Linked DNA regions of Saccharomyces cerevisiae S288C. Changing the gene in region 3 together with the main gene of any one other region gives a genetic interaction. Each region holds a gene or a part of one and is shown on either strand. Other genes may lie near its edges.

Evidence for each region.
Region 1: mutations in MSC1 (region 3) and ISW2 together harm fitness less than expected from each alone (positive genetic interaction), as found in Saccharomyces cerevisiae (2 studies listed by BioGRID).
Region 2: mutations in MSC1 (region 3) and NST1 together harm fitness less than expected from each alone (positive genetic interaction), as found in Saccharomyces cerevisiae (2 studies listed by BioGRID).

Annotation. Positions count from the first base shown.
Region 1 is NC_001147.6:882,553-886,310, reverse strand, and holds the start of ISW2 (DNA translocase), read right to left. Parts: upstream 1,798-3,758; coding exon 1-1,797. Other genes in the region: carbamoyl-phosphate synthase (glutamine-hydrolyzing) CPA1, read right to left, coding at 2,177-3,412; YOR302W (uncharacterized protein), read right to left, coding at 3,469-3,546. UniProt on the Saccharomyces cerevisiae protein: Catalytic component of the ISW2 complex, which acts in remodeling the chromatin by catalyzing an ATP-dependent alteration in the structure of nucleosomal DNA.
Region 2 is NC_001146.8:450,492-454,249, forward strand, and holds the start of NST1 (Nst1p), read left to right. Parts: upstream 1-1,916; coding exon 1,917-3,758. Other genes in the region: Rab family GTPase YPT53, read left to right, coding at 1-39; YNL092W (S-adenosylmethionine-dependent methyltransferase), read left to right, coding at 380-1,582. UniProt on the Saccharomyces cerevisiae protein: With MSL1, acts as a negative regulator of salt tolerance.
Region 3 is NC_001145.3:15,077-18,834, forward strand, and holds MSC1 (double-strand break repair enhancer MSC1), read right to left. Parts: upstream 1,601-3,758; coding exon 59-1,600; downstream 1-58. Other genes in the region: RSC9 (Rsc9p), read left to right, coding at 1,988-3,733.

The DNA.
Region 1 (3,758 bases), on a different chromosome or scaffold from region 3:
TCTATCCATTGCTTGTAGATCAGCTTGAGGGTTCCAATCAGAATCAAAAAGAATAACAGTGTCGGCTGTGACAAGGTTAATACCTAAACCACCGGCACGTGTTGTTAGCAAAAAAACGAACTTTTCAGAATTAGGTTTATTATACTCATCGATAGCTTCTATACGTTCTTCATGGCTAGTAGAACCGTCGATTCTGCAATATTCAAAATCTCTAAAATAGCAATAATCTTCTAAGATATCCAATAGTCTCGACATTTGACTGAAAATCAATACTCTAGATCCCTTTTCCTTCAGTCTTTTCAGTAACTTATCTAATATAATCATTTTCCCGGAATTGAAAATCAAATGTTCATCGGTAGTGTATGGAGGTCCAGGTTCTGCGCCTTCAAAAAGATATGGATGATTACAGCATTTCCTTAATTGCATAACAATATTCAGTAACCTCGTTTTGCCTTCTCTTTTTCCAACAGCACCGTTAACAGCGTCTATATCCTTCTCTAATAATGATTTATACCATTGTATTTGCATGTCTGTCATCCCCACGTAAACATTCGTTTCGATTTTAGGTAGCAAAGATTTTTCGACATCCGCTTTGACTCTTCTCAGTAAAAAGGGGTTTAGTACTGAGTGTAGCTGTTGGATTACAATTTCTTGATCTTGTTCCGAATTGTTTTGTTCGAACCATTCATCAAAAAGTTCAGAATCTCCAAATATATCAGGTAATAAGAAATTTAGCAGGGCCCATAATTCGTGTAGATTGTTTTGTAGAGGCGTGCCCGTAATCAATAATCTATTCTTAGAGTAAAATAATCTAATTATTTGAGATAACGCGCTTTGTTCATTTTTGATCCTGTGAGCCTCATCAATAACAATATATTGCCAAGCTAATCTTTTCAAAGCATTCTTTTCTCTAATGACCATTTCATAAGATGTAATCAATACATCAAATCTAGCTTCTAATATTATATTCCGTACTATATCAGCTCTTGTGTCTTTATCACCATGTAACACAAGGACATTGACGTTTGGAGTCCATTTAAGAAACTCTCGTCTCCAATTATCTAGTGTTGACTTCGGTACTATTATTAGAAAGGGTCCCTCGATTTGTTTGACGTATCTCAAATAACCTAGGAATGAAATTGTTTGTAAGGTTTTACCCAGCCCCATTTCATCGGCCAAGATACCAGATAGTTTGTTTTCGTGCAACGATATTAACCAGTTTAAGCCTTGAACTTGATAGTCTCTTAATTTTCCTGACTTGACGAAGGAGGGAGATTCTGAGACGAATATGTCTTCCTGATATGTATCTACAATCTCTTCTTCCTCATCAGCCATTAATTCAGCATCTTCCTCCTTTTCTGTTTTTCTATGGTGACGTGATGACGAACTGACGGTGCTGTGTGATTTGGAAAGTTTGTTTGCATCAGAATCTAACTGTTTTAAGAGTTTTTGAATATTTTTATCATGTTTTGCCTTAATTCCAATAAAATGACGGAAAAGGTCTGTGACGCCTAATAAATATTTGAATCTTTTGTACGTATCGGACTTGTCCTTTTGCTTGGCGTATTTTGGATCTACATCAAGTACGAATTTTTTCTTTCTTTGAGCCCAATATTCTGGTGGTCTATCTTCTACTGTATATATTTCTTTATCTGATAGCTCTTCACTTTGTCCGATATTATCATCATCACTACTGCCATTTGACTTTGAGTCGAGAGTATCGACTAAAACTTCTGAAGGTGACTCGCTTTTGCTATTCTTGGTATCACTTCGTTGCTCCTCTTGCTGGGTCGTCATGATCTGATTGTAAGTTTTCCTTTTGTTACGACTTAAACCAACAAGACGGGTATTATTGGAAAGTAAATAAAACAAACCACAAAGAAAGAAAACCGTTTGCACAAACTCCTTGAGTTATGCAAATATACTTATCAAAATTTAACTGAAGCTGAAAATTTTTGAGTCTGCTTTATTTGATTTTTTTTTTAGGATGGCAGGATGAAATTAGAGCCATTGTACGTACGTTACGTTTTTTTGTTCATTTAATTACAAGAAGCGCCCGTTAATTATGACAACTGCGAGTAGATACTAAGCAACGACGAGTAGCGCAAAATACCATGAACTGAATTGAATCGTATTTAGATGTACGTATGTGTTACGTAATGTATAAATTTTGTTTTTAGAACAACACTCTTTCCTTGGCCAACTTAGTAACATTTATACTCTGCAATCTCGATTTATCGGTACTGTATGTTACTTTTAGTGAGATTGAACTTTTTGCCTGAGATTGTAATTGGTATTTTTCTATATTATCGAAGAATTTGTCAAAAAGAATAGCTGTGTCTAAGGGACCACCTTTTGCCTCTGGGTGAAATTGGGTAGAAAATATGGGTCTTTGAAGGTGTATCATGCCTTCGTTTGATTTGTCGTTTAAATTAACAAAATAAGGTTTCCATTGGTCCTTTGGTAGGGTCTCAGGATCAACTGCATAGCCATGATTTTGAGATGTAATGTGGCACTGGCCGGTAGTCAAATCCATGGCAGGGATGTTGTGAGCCCTATTACCATATTTCAATTTGTGAGTAGAGGCACCGGAGGCCAGAGCCAAGAGTTGATGGCCTAGACAAATCCCAAAAATAGGGATACAGTCATAAACAGGGTTATTTAGTAATTCCCTGACGTTGGAAATTGTAGCTTGGCATAGTTCTGGGTTGCCTGGTCCATTGGATAAGAAAATACCGTCGAATTCAGAAGCAACATCTTGAATTCTGTAATCATAGGGGAAAACAGTTACATTGGCACCTCTTTTGACTAGGCATCTGATAATGTTTTCTTTAACACCACAGTCAATAAGAGCCACATTTGCCTTAGCCTTCCCAGGTAAGGCAGAGACGTGGAAAGGCTTTTTTGTGGTGACTTGAGCAACCAAGTTAGTTTTCATGGGATTCACGTAGGGGACAGGGTCATGATCAGCCAACGTAATACGGCCCAAAGAAGAACCTTGTTCCCTCAAGTATTGCACTAGTTCACGGGTGTCTACGCCAGTAATAGCAGCAACACCTTCTCTCTGACACCATTGTGCCAGAGATTCAACAGCGGTCCAATGCGAATATTGATAAGCATATTCAGCGACAACGATGCCGACCACATGTATATGCGGAGATTCAAAATACTTCAGTAAATTGTATTCATCGCGGGCTTCGCCGGATGGGACACCGTAGTTACCAATCAAGGGTTGCGTGAAGACTAATATCTGACCACGGTAGGAAGGATCAGTCATGGACTCTGGGTAACCAACCAGAGAAGTAGTGAAAACTGTTTCACCAGCAACAGATTTGTTTGCACCAAAAGATATACCTTCAAAGGAAGGACCATTTTGGATACAGAAAGTAGCTTTTGTTGCAGCGGAGGACATTTGAAATATTTTTAGGAGTGGTTTGTGATAGAATTTCTGATTATTAAGCAATGAAATTAGTGGGAGCTAGTTTTCCAGATGTGGTCAGATATGTAGTCTTGGCAGGTGTATTGAGAGTTCGATAAGCTAAACATATAATGTTTTTTTTATTTCAAATCTGCAAAAAGGGTATGTAGAAGAGTCGATTACCTTGTATTCTTTGCAGTATTTAAACAATTAGATGTTCGAGTGTATCTATGTGTTATAGTTCTGAAGAAAAAAAAAAAAAAAAAAAAGAAAAAGAAACGACGAGTCAAGAAAAGAAAAGAAAAAGGAGGGGCATGAAAAAAGAAATTGACCGAATAAT
Region 2 (3,758 bases), on a different chromosome or scaffold from region 3:
GTAGAAAGTACTAGGGAGACTGGGGGTTGTAACTGCTAAACTGCAAGCAAAACAACAGCAAACGCGGCATATTCAGCGTCTTAGCGAAGCTTGCCATTGAAAAGAACAGTTCGTAACAACAGCTGGAAGAATAGTACTGGAAATTTTCAATTACTTTTGCAAAACAAGCACTTTTTTGTTTCACTTCCATTAGCCGCAAGAAATACACTTTTTTTAGGGGCGGGAATTTTCATCGCCAGATCGAGAATCACAAGGCCTTTACGTACTATAGTTTGTAATTTATACAAAATCAGCTACTGTTATTTTGGTGTACCAGCGGCAAAAATTGGTGAGGATCTGAAAATTAATTAGAGGTGAACACATATCAGTAATTTTGACTATGGACGAGAATGAATTTGATAATCAAAGGGAGAATAAAGCTGTAGCTCGAGTGATCATATCATTTCTTAAGTATGAAGAGTATGCCCTAAAGGAAATCTACAATTTGAGAGTGAAAAAATGGGCATCGATCTCAGATCGTCAAAAAGACATGGTACCAAACTATACAAAATATTTAGCTAATCTGAAAGCCGCAATTATAGAAAATGGCAAGTTCTTTAGAAGTGTCGCCGAATATGCCCTGCAATCAATAAGTTTTGAGCCAGGAGAAATCGTACAACCAAACGATTTAGATATGAGTAAAACATGCTCTTTACTTACGCAAGTTTATAGGGAGTGGTCCGCAGAGGCCATTTCTGAACGTAATTGCTTAAATTCGAGGCTTGTACCGTTTTTGAAGACCCTATCACCCCCAAAAGCCGACATTTTGATACCGGGTTGCGGCACAGGACGCCTTCTCGTGGATCTTAGCAGAATGGGCTATAATTGTGAAGGTAACGAATTTTCATATCACATGCTGCTTGTATCTCAATACATGTTGAATGCAGGATTACTCCAAAACCAAATTATTATCTATCCCTTCATACACTGTTTCTCCCACTGGAAAAAAATTGAAGATCAGTTGTCTCCCATTAAGGTGCCGGACATAGAAGCGTGGTCTTCAAATAAAGGTATGGGGTCCATGTCGATATGTGCTGGCTCGTTTGTTGATTGTTATGGTCGTAATCAAGGCACAAAAATCTCGTCACATTATACATTTTCGCGAAGGATGCAACTAAGTAGAGCAAAAGCTGAAAACTCCAAAGACGTTGTAGTAACAAACTTTTTTATAGATACGGGATCCAACATCTTGGATTATTTGGATACTATTGGCCACGTCTTGAAGCCAGGCGGAATCTGGTGCAATTTCGGCCCATTGCTTTATCATTTTGAAAATGACCATGGGGTTGAAACTACCTACGAAGTTAACCCTTACTCTGGGTTTCAAGATAAAATCAATGACTATACACCACTGATGGGTTTAGAGCTTTCTAGCGATGATATCATAAGCATTGCCACAAATCATCTGGACTTTGAATTAATACGGAGAGAGTCAGGAATACTTTGTGGGTATGGCCGCTACGCGGGTCCAGAAAGTTGCGCCATGCCTGGATACATGTGCCACTATTGGATCCTGAAGTCGAACCCCACCAATGAATCATAAGCTTACACAATAATCTAATTGCACTATATAGAAGTTGCTGACACAGCCGTTTTAGAGAACTCAGAATGTTACCCGCGCGGAAAATTCTTTTTGCTCCCTCTCGCTATGTTCTGTTTACCATATTGACAGTACTGGTTATCAGCCTAGATCCAGTAATACATAAAGCCCTCAATTTGAACTATATATCAAAGCTAGAAGAAGAGTGATTTGTCATAATTGATTCACTTTATAAGCTCCTTTATCGTTTCAGTTTCCAGGTGCATTTATCGCTTAAGGCCATTACTTTCAACAATAAGCAATCTTTATAAGTGAAAAATTGGGGAAATTGCCAAAGATGCCCCCAAACTCCAAGAGTAAGAGAAGAAAGAACAAATCCAAGCAACACAACAAGAAAAATGGCAACTCTGATCCTGAACAAAGTATAAATCCTACACAGCTAGTACCTCGAATGGAGCCAGAGTTGTATCATACAGAATCGGATTACCCAACTTCAAGAGTAATAAAAAGAGCGCCCAATGGCGATGTCATCGTGGAACCAATAAATACAGACGATGATAAGAAAGAACGTACGGCGAACTTGACTCATAATAAGGATAGTATGGATTCTGCTTCTTCCTTAGCTTTTACTCTAGATTCTCACTGGGAATCATTATCGCCAGAAGAAAAGAAAACTATTCTACGAATCGAAAAGGAGGAAGTATTTAATGTCATAAGGAATTACCAGGACGATCATAGTTGTAGTTGCTCTGTTTGTGGACGCCGCCATTTAGCAATGGATCAAGAAATGGAGCGTATATACAATACACTTTATGCCATGGATAAGGATAAAGACCCTGAAACCAATCCTATCAAATTCCACTTAGGCATAATAAAGGAGCTACAGATTTCCAAAAATCAACAGCAAAATGATTTATCTTCTACAAAGGGCGAAGTTGTAAAAAATTTCCTTTCGTCAAGTACAGTTGGCTCTTTGAAAGAGGAAGTGCTGCATTTCAAACAAAAGCAACTTTCAAAACAAGAACAAGCGCATAATGAAACGGCGGATAATACCTCATTACTTGAAGAAAATTTGAACAATATACACATCAACAAAACTTCTAGTGAAATTTCCGCAAATTTCAATTCTGTGAGCGATGAAGAGTTGCAACAAAAATATTCCAACTTCACAAAAACGTTTATTTCATCACATCCCAAAATAGCAGAGGAGTATGTACAAAAAATGATGATGTATCCGAATATTAGAGCACTGACTGATGACTTAATGAATAGTAACGGGCAAGGATTTCTTAATGCAATCGAAGACTTTGTGCGAGATGGCCAGATACAAGCATCGAAAAAAGACGACAGCATCACTGAAGATGAAGCATCTAGTACAGATTTGACTGATCCAAAGGAGTTTACCACAATGCTGCATAGTGGAAAACCACTTACAGAAGATGAGTATGCCGACCTCCAGCGCAACATTGCTGAAAGGATGACTAATGCGTACGATACCGCAAGTAAGAAATTCAAAGATGTGTCACAATTAGAGAAGGAGCTATTTACACGATTCATGTCGGGGAGAGACAAAAAATCTTTCAGAGAGTTGATAATTCAATCCTTTAAAAATAAATTTGATGGGGAATTAGGTCCATCCGTTCTAGCAGCCACTTTAAGCTCGTGCTTTTCATCTCAATCGAAGGATACTTCGTTAGATACTGATTCTATATATGAAGATGAAGATGAGGAAGACTATGATGACTATTCAGAATATGCTGAAGATAGCGAAGAGGTTTCTGAGTATGAAGGAATAGAGGCAGTCGAAAAACCAGAGCATGATGAAAAAAGCAACGGGATACGTGAAACATTACATTTAAGTTATGACCACGATCATAAACGACAGAACCACCCTCACCATCACTACCATAGTACCAGTACCCACAGCGAAGATGAACTGAGTGAAGAAGAGTATATTTCCGATATAGAATTACCGCATGATCCTCATAAGCACTTTCACCGCGATGATGATATATTAGATGGGGATGAAGATGAGCCAGAGGAAGAGGATGAAAATGAAGGCGATGACGAAGAAGATACTTATGACAGCGGTCTTGATGAAACTGACCGTTTAGAAGAAGGTCGGAAATTGATTCAGATAGCCATTACAAAGTTGCTTCAAAGTCGAATAATGGCTTCT
Region 3 (3,758 bases):
ATATACGGATGAAAAGAAAAATTGGGGAGAAAAGTACATTACGTTGACACCCCAATCATTAGTTGAACCCTAATATGCTTTTCGACCAGTTTTTAACGTTATGTAGGTACCTCTTGTAAGCAGGCTCCTTAACAGTGCCGAACAACCATTGCGTATTCTGCTTGGCCAAGTTGATTAAGTCGTCCTTCGTAGAAGTCTGTTTAACCGGAACACCGAATGATTTTAGGTACTGCAATAGGTCTTCTTGAGACCAGCTCTGAAAGGTATTTGACCAGGTCTTAGCGATTTGGTCCTTAGCATCATTTGTGTTTTTGGAAACCTTGTCAAAATCCTGCATAATTGTGGAGTAAGTCTGAGAATCTTGGAAGTCGTCCTTTTTGTCAGCAAACCAACCCTTTATGTCATCCAAAGACCAGTTACTGTTGTCAAAGTATTTTTGGTAGTCTTTTGGCAGGATCTTGAGTTTTTCGTTTCTGGATTTTTTGACTAATTCTCTCAATTGATGTTCAGTAGACAGCATTGAGTACTTAATACCACGAGCATCTAAAAACATTTTCAATTTGTCCTTTGGCCAAGAGTCTAGGCCAACCAAAAAAGTATCATTGATCACATTGTCAGTCTTACCTCTGAACTTGGAGTACAAATTTGTGAGGAAATTTTTAGAAGAGTCCCAAACGGAACCAACGTATTCTGGGGTCTTGGTCAAAAATGGAGAAGACTCTCTTTTCATATAGTCCAGGTACCAGTAGATATCATCTTTCAAATTGGCAGAATTTTCTTTGGCCATTCTAACCAAATAGTCGTGTTTCTTGGCCATGTTCTTGTCAATATTGACCTTGTGGCTCTCCAACCAATTGGTTAACTGATCACTAGACCACTTGTCAAATACAGTGTCTTTTATTTGTCCCGATGTGTCTAATATTTGTTGGTGAGCCAAATCCAAGCTTTCTAGCAAACCCAGACGCTGCTGTTCTGCCTTTTCTGAAGTTCGGTAGATGTTTTCCTTGACTTTCTGAACTAGCTCGTCCTTGCTTTGAACTGCCTTGTCGTAGTCGATACCATTGTCATTCAACCAGTTTTGCAAATCTTTGGTTGACCAGCTATCAAAGTAAGAGCTAGAAGGATAGTATCCCGACGACTTCAAAGATTTGGAAATCTTGTTGAAGTTCTCCTTAGCAGTCTTCACCAGCGAGTCCTTGGAAGCCTTAGCGTCGTCAACATCCACGCCGTTTTTCTTCAAGAAGTTACGTAGACTGTCTGTGGACCAGGTGTCAAAGAGCCAGTCAGAAACTGGGTGATCCGAAGAACCAGTATAACCAAACCATCCGGGGTTACTGTTGCTCACGCTACTGCTGTCACTAGACCACACCTGCCACCATGGTTTGGGCTGCGCGTGTTTGTCCCATACCTGCGATGCCTCCGTTTTCAAGTCCTCAATGGAGTCTGTAGCGTACTTTTCCAAGCTCTTCTTATTATCACGTAAATAATCGGCCAGGTCTTCCTGCGTCCACTTGTCGAACACTGAATCTGAATTGGCCAACACTAAGCCAATAAGCACAAATGATGCGGAAACCGCATTAACCAACTTGAATTGCTTCATCTTCTTCTCTTAATTAACAGTTCTTTTGTAGTTGTCTCCTCTTCTATTGCAGATCCTCTTCTAAACTCCGGTAATCTAATCATGCTAGGAATACGACTCCATGAGTGGCTTTAAATACCCTGTCGATCCCCTTTCACCGCCTCCTTGTTTCCTCCCTCTCCCTTATTTTCCTTCAGTTCCAAAGATCCCTTATTCTTCCCCTCTAAGGTGAGGCCGGCGTAATGCTGTTGCTTACCGACGTAATGGTGGAAAAGGTGAAAAAAGTGAAAATAGTGATATTCTTAGAGAAAAACGAAAACAACAAGTCGTGTCAAGAGGTAGTGTTTTGGGAAAGACGTCATAGAGAAAGGCAGAAAGCTTGTAAAGAAGTGGAAATAAAGATTGAAGATGAACTCGTTAGCTTCAAACACACCGCTAAATGGTACTCCAGTAAGCGAGGCACCCGCCACAAGCTCCGAGCCTGTGAACATGTTCGAGACAATGGTGGCTAACCCTATTAAAGTGTCTCGATTACAGTCTAATGGAGTTCTGACGGGACCTGCAGCCAATACTAAGTCCATCCACTATTCGCTGGCCAATTTTAATGTGTTCCAGTCGCTACCCAAGGAAACGGCCAGAGGTGTAGACGATTTGACGAGGATGGAGATGGCGTTACTGAGTGGGATACCGGAGGAGATTAAGTGGTCTTTAAAAAAATATCTTACGTATAGTAACAAGGCGCCATATATGATCAGCTTACGGACATTGCCGGACCTGTTGCCACTTTTCAAGACTTTCATATTGCCTTTGGAGCGCATCGTGGAAGGTCTTAACAAATCGTCTATATGTGATTCAAAGGCGATGGATTCTCTACAAATGGGTCTAAATGCCTTGCTGATCCTAAGGAATCTGGCTCAAGATACTGATTCGGTGCAGATACTAGTCAAGGATCGAGAAATCAAATCTTTCATTCTTTTCATTTTGAAGAAGTTTCAGTGCGTCGCTACAGGCGATAACAAGTGGCAATTGTACGAAGGAAATGCAACTTTTTTTAACGAGTTGACCCATTATACTCTGGACTTGATGGAGGCCATTTCGTCCTATATTGCTCCTGCAATGAAGGATGATCATTATTTCCAAACGCTGGTGTCCATCTTGAACTACACTAAGGACAGATACATGGTTATTTCTATATTGAGGTCTCTTTCAAGATTACTGGTTAGGTCCAAAGCTAACGAGGAAAGTGCAGCGGACAATTTGGACCATAAGACTCTTTCGTTGATCGTTTCCTTTTTACTGTTAGAATGCGATAGTGAGCTGATTATTGCTTCGTTGGATTTCCTCTATCAATACATTTTGCCCGGTTCTCAAAGAATCACTGAGTTATTCAAGAGTAAGGAGTGCTCTTTGATACTGGAAGCCACGCTGCCTAATTTATTATCATATAATATCGCCACACCAGATTACCATCTTTTGCAAAAGCACAAAATTAGGTTGATTAAAAGGTTGAAGCCTCCCGCTCCAAAGGAGCCTCCCAATTTATCTGAGGATCTGTTTCAACAACTTTTCAAACTTAACGAGCCCTTGAGGTCAACCGCTTGGTTGAGATGTTGCTTTGAGCCTGTACAAGAAGCAGAATTTACACAAATATCGCTTTGGAGATCCTACGAATCCAAATTTGGTCAGCCTGTTCGCGAATCCGGACGCAAATTGTTACCTGCCGTGGAATTCATCAAGAATGTCTCGAATGCTTTCAATAACGCCGCTGCTATCGTAATCACTGACCCGGTAACCGGCAAGAAAAGGTTTGTTATCAAGGGCATTCAACCAAGATTTAAAGCTTTGGGTATTGCAGACGGGGAAAGAGAATCCCAGGTACCCATTTCGGCACTAAAATCCAAATTTTTGAATGACTCTAAGGAAATTACACCTGCAAGACAAAACAGCATACCAGAGGTCAAATTCCCTCAAGAACTCTCAGATGTTTCTAAAGTGGCCTGTACGTTTTTGTGCCTTTTATCCAACGACACGGATGATGGTGCTGGTTCCGCATTTTGTCAACGCATCAGGCCACTGGTTCTACATAAATTGGCTGATATTCCACCTTTAACATTAGCATTGTCTGAATACATGGAAAACACGTCGGGGTTATGAATGAGAAAAAAAATCGGTTGGGCTT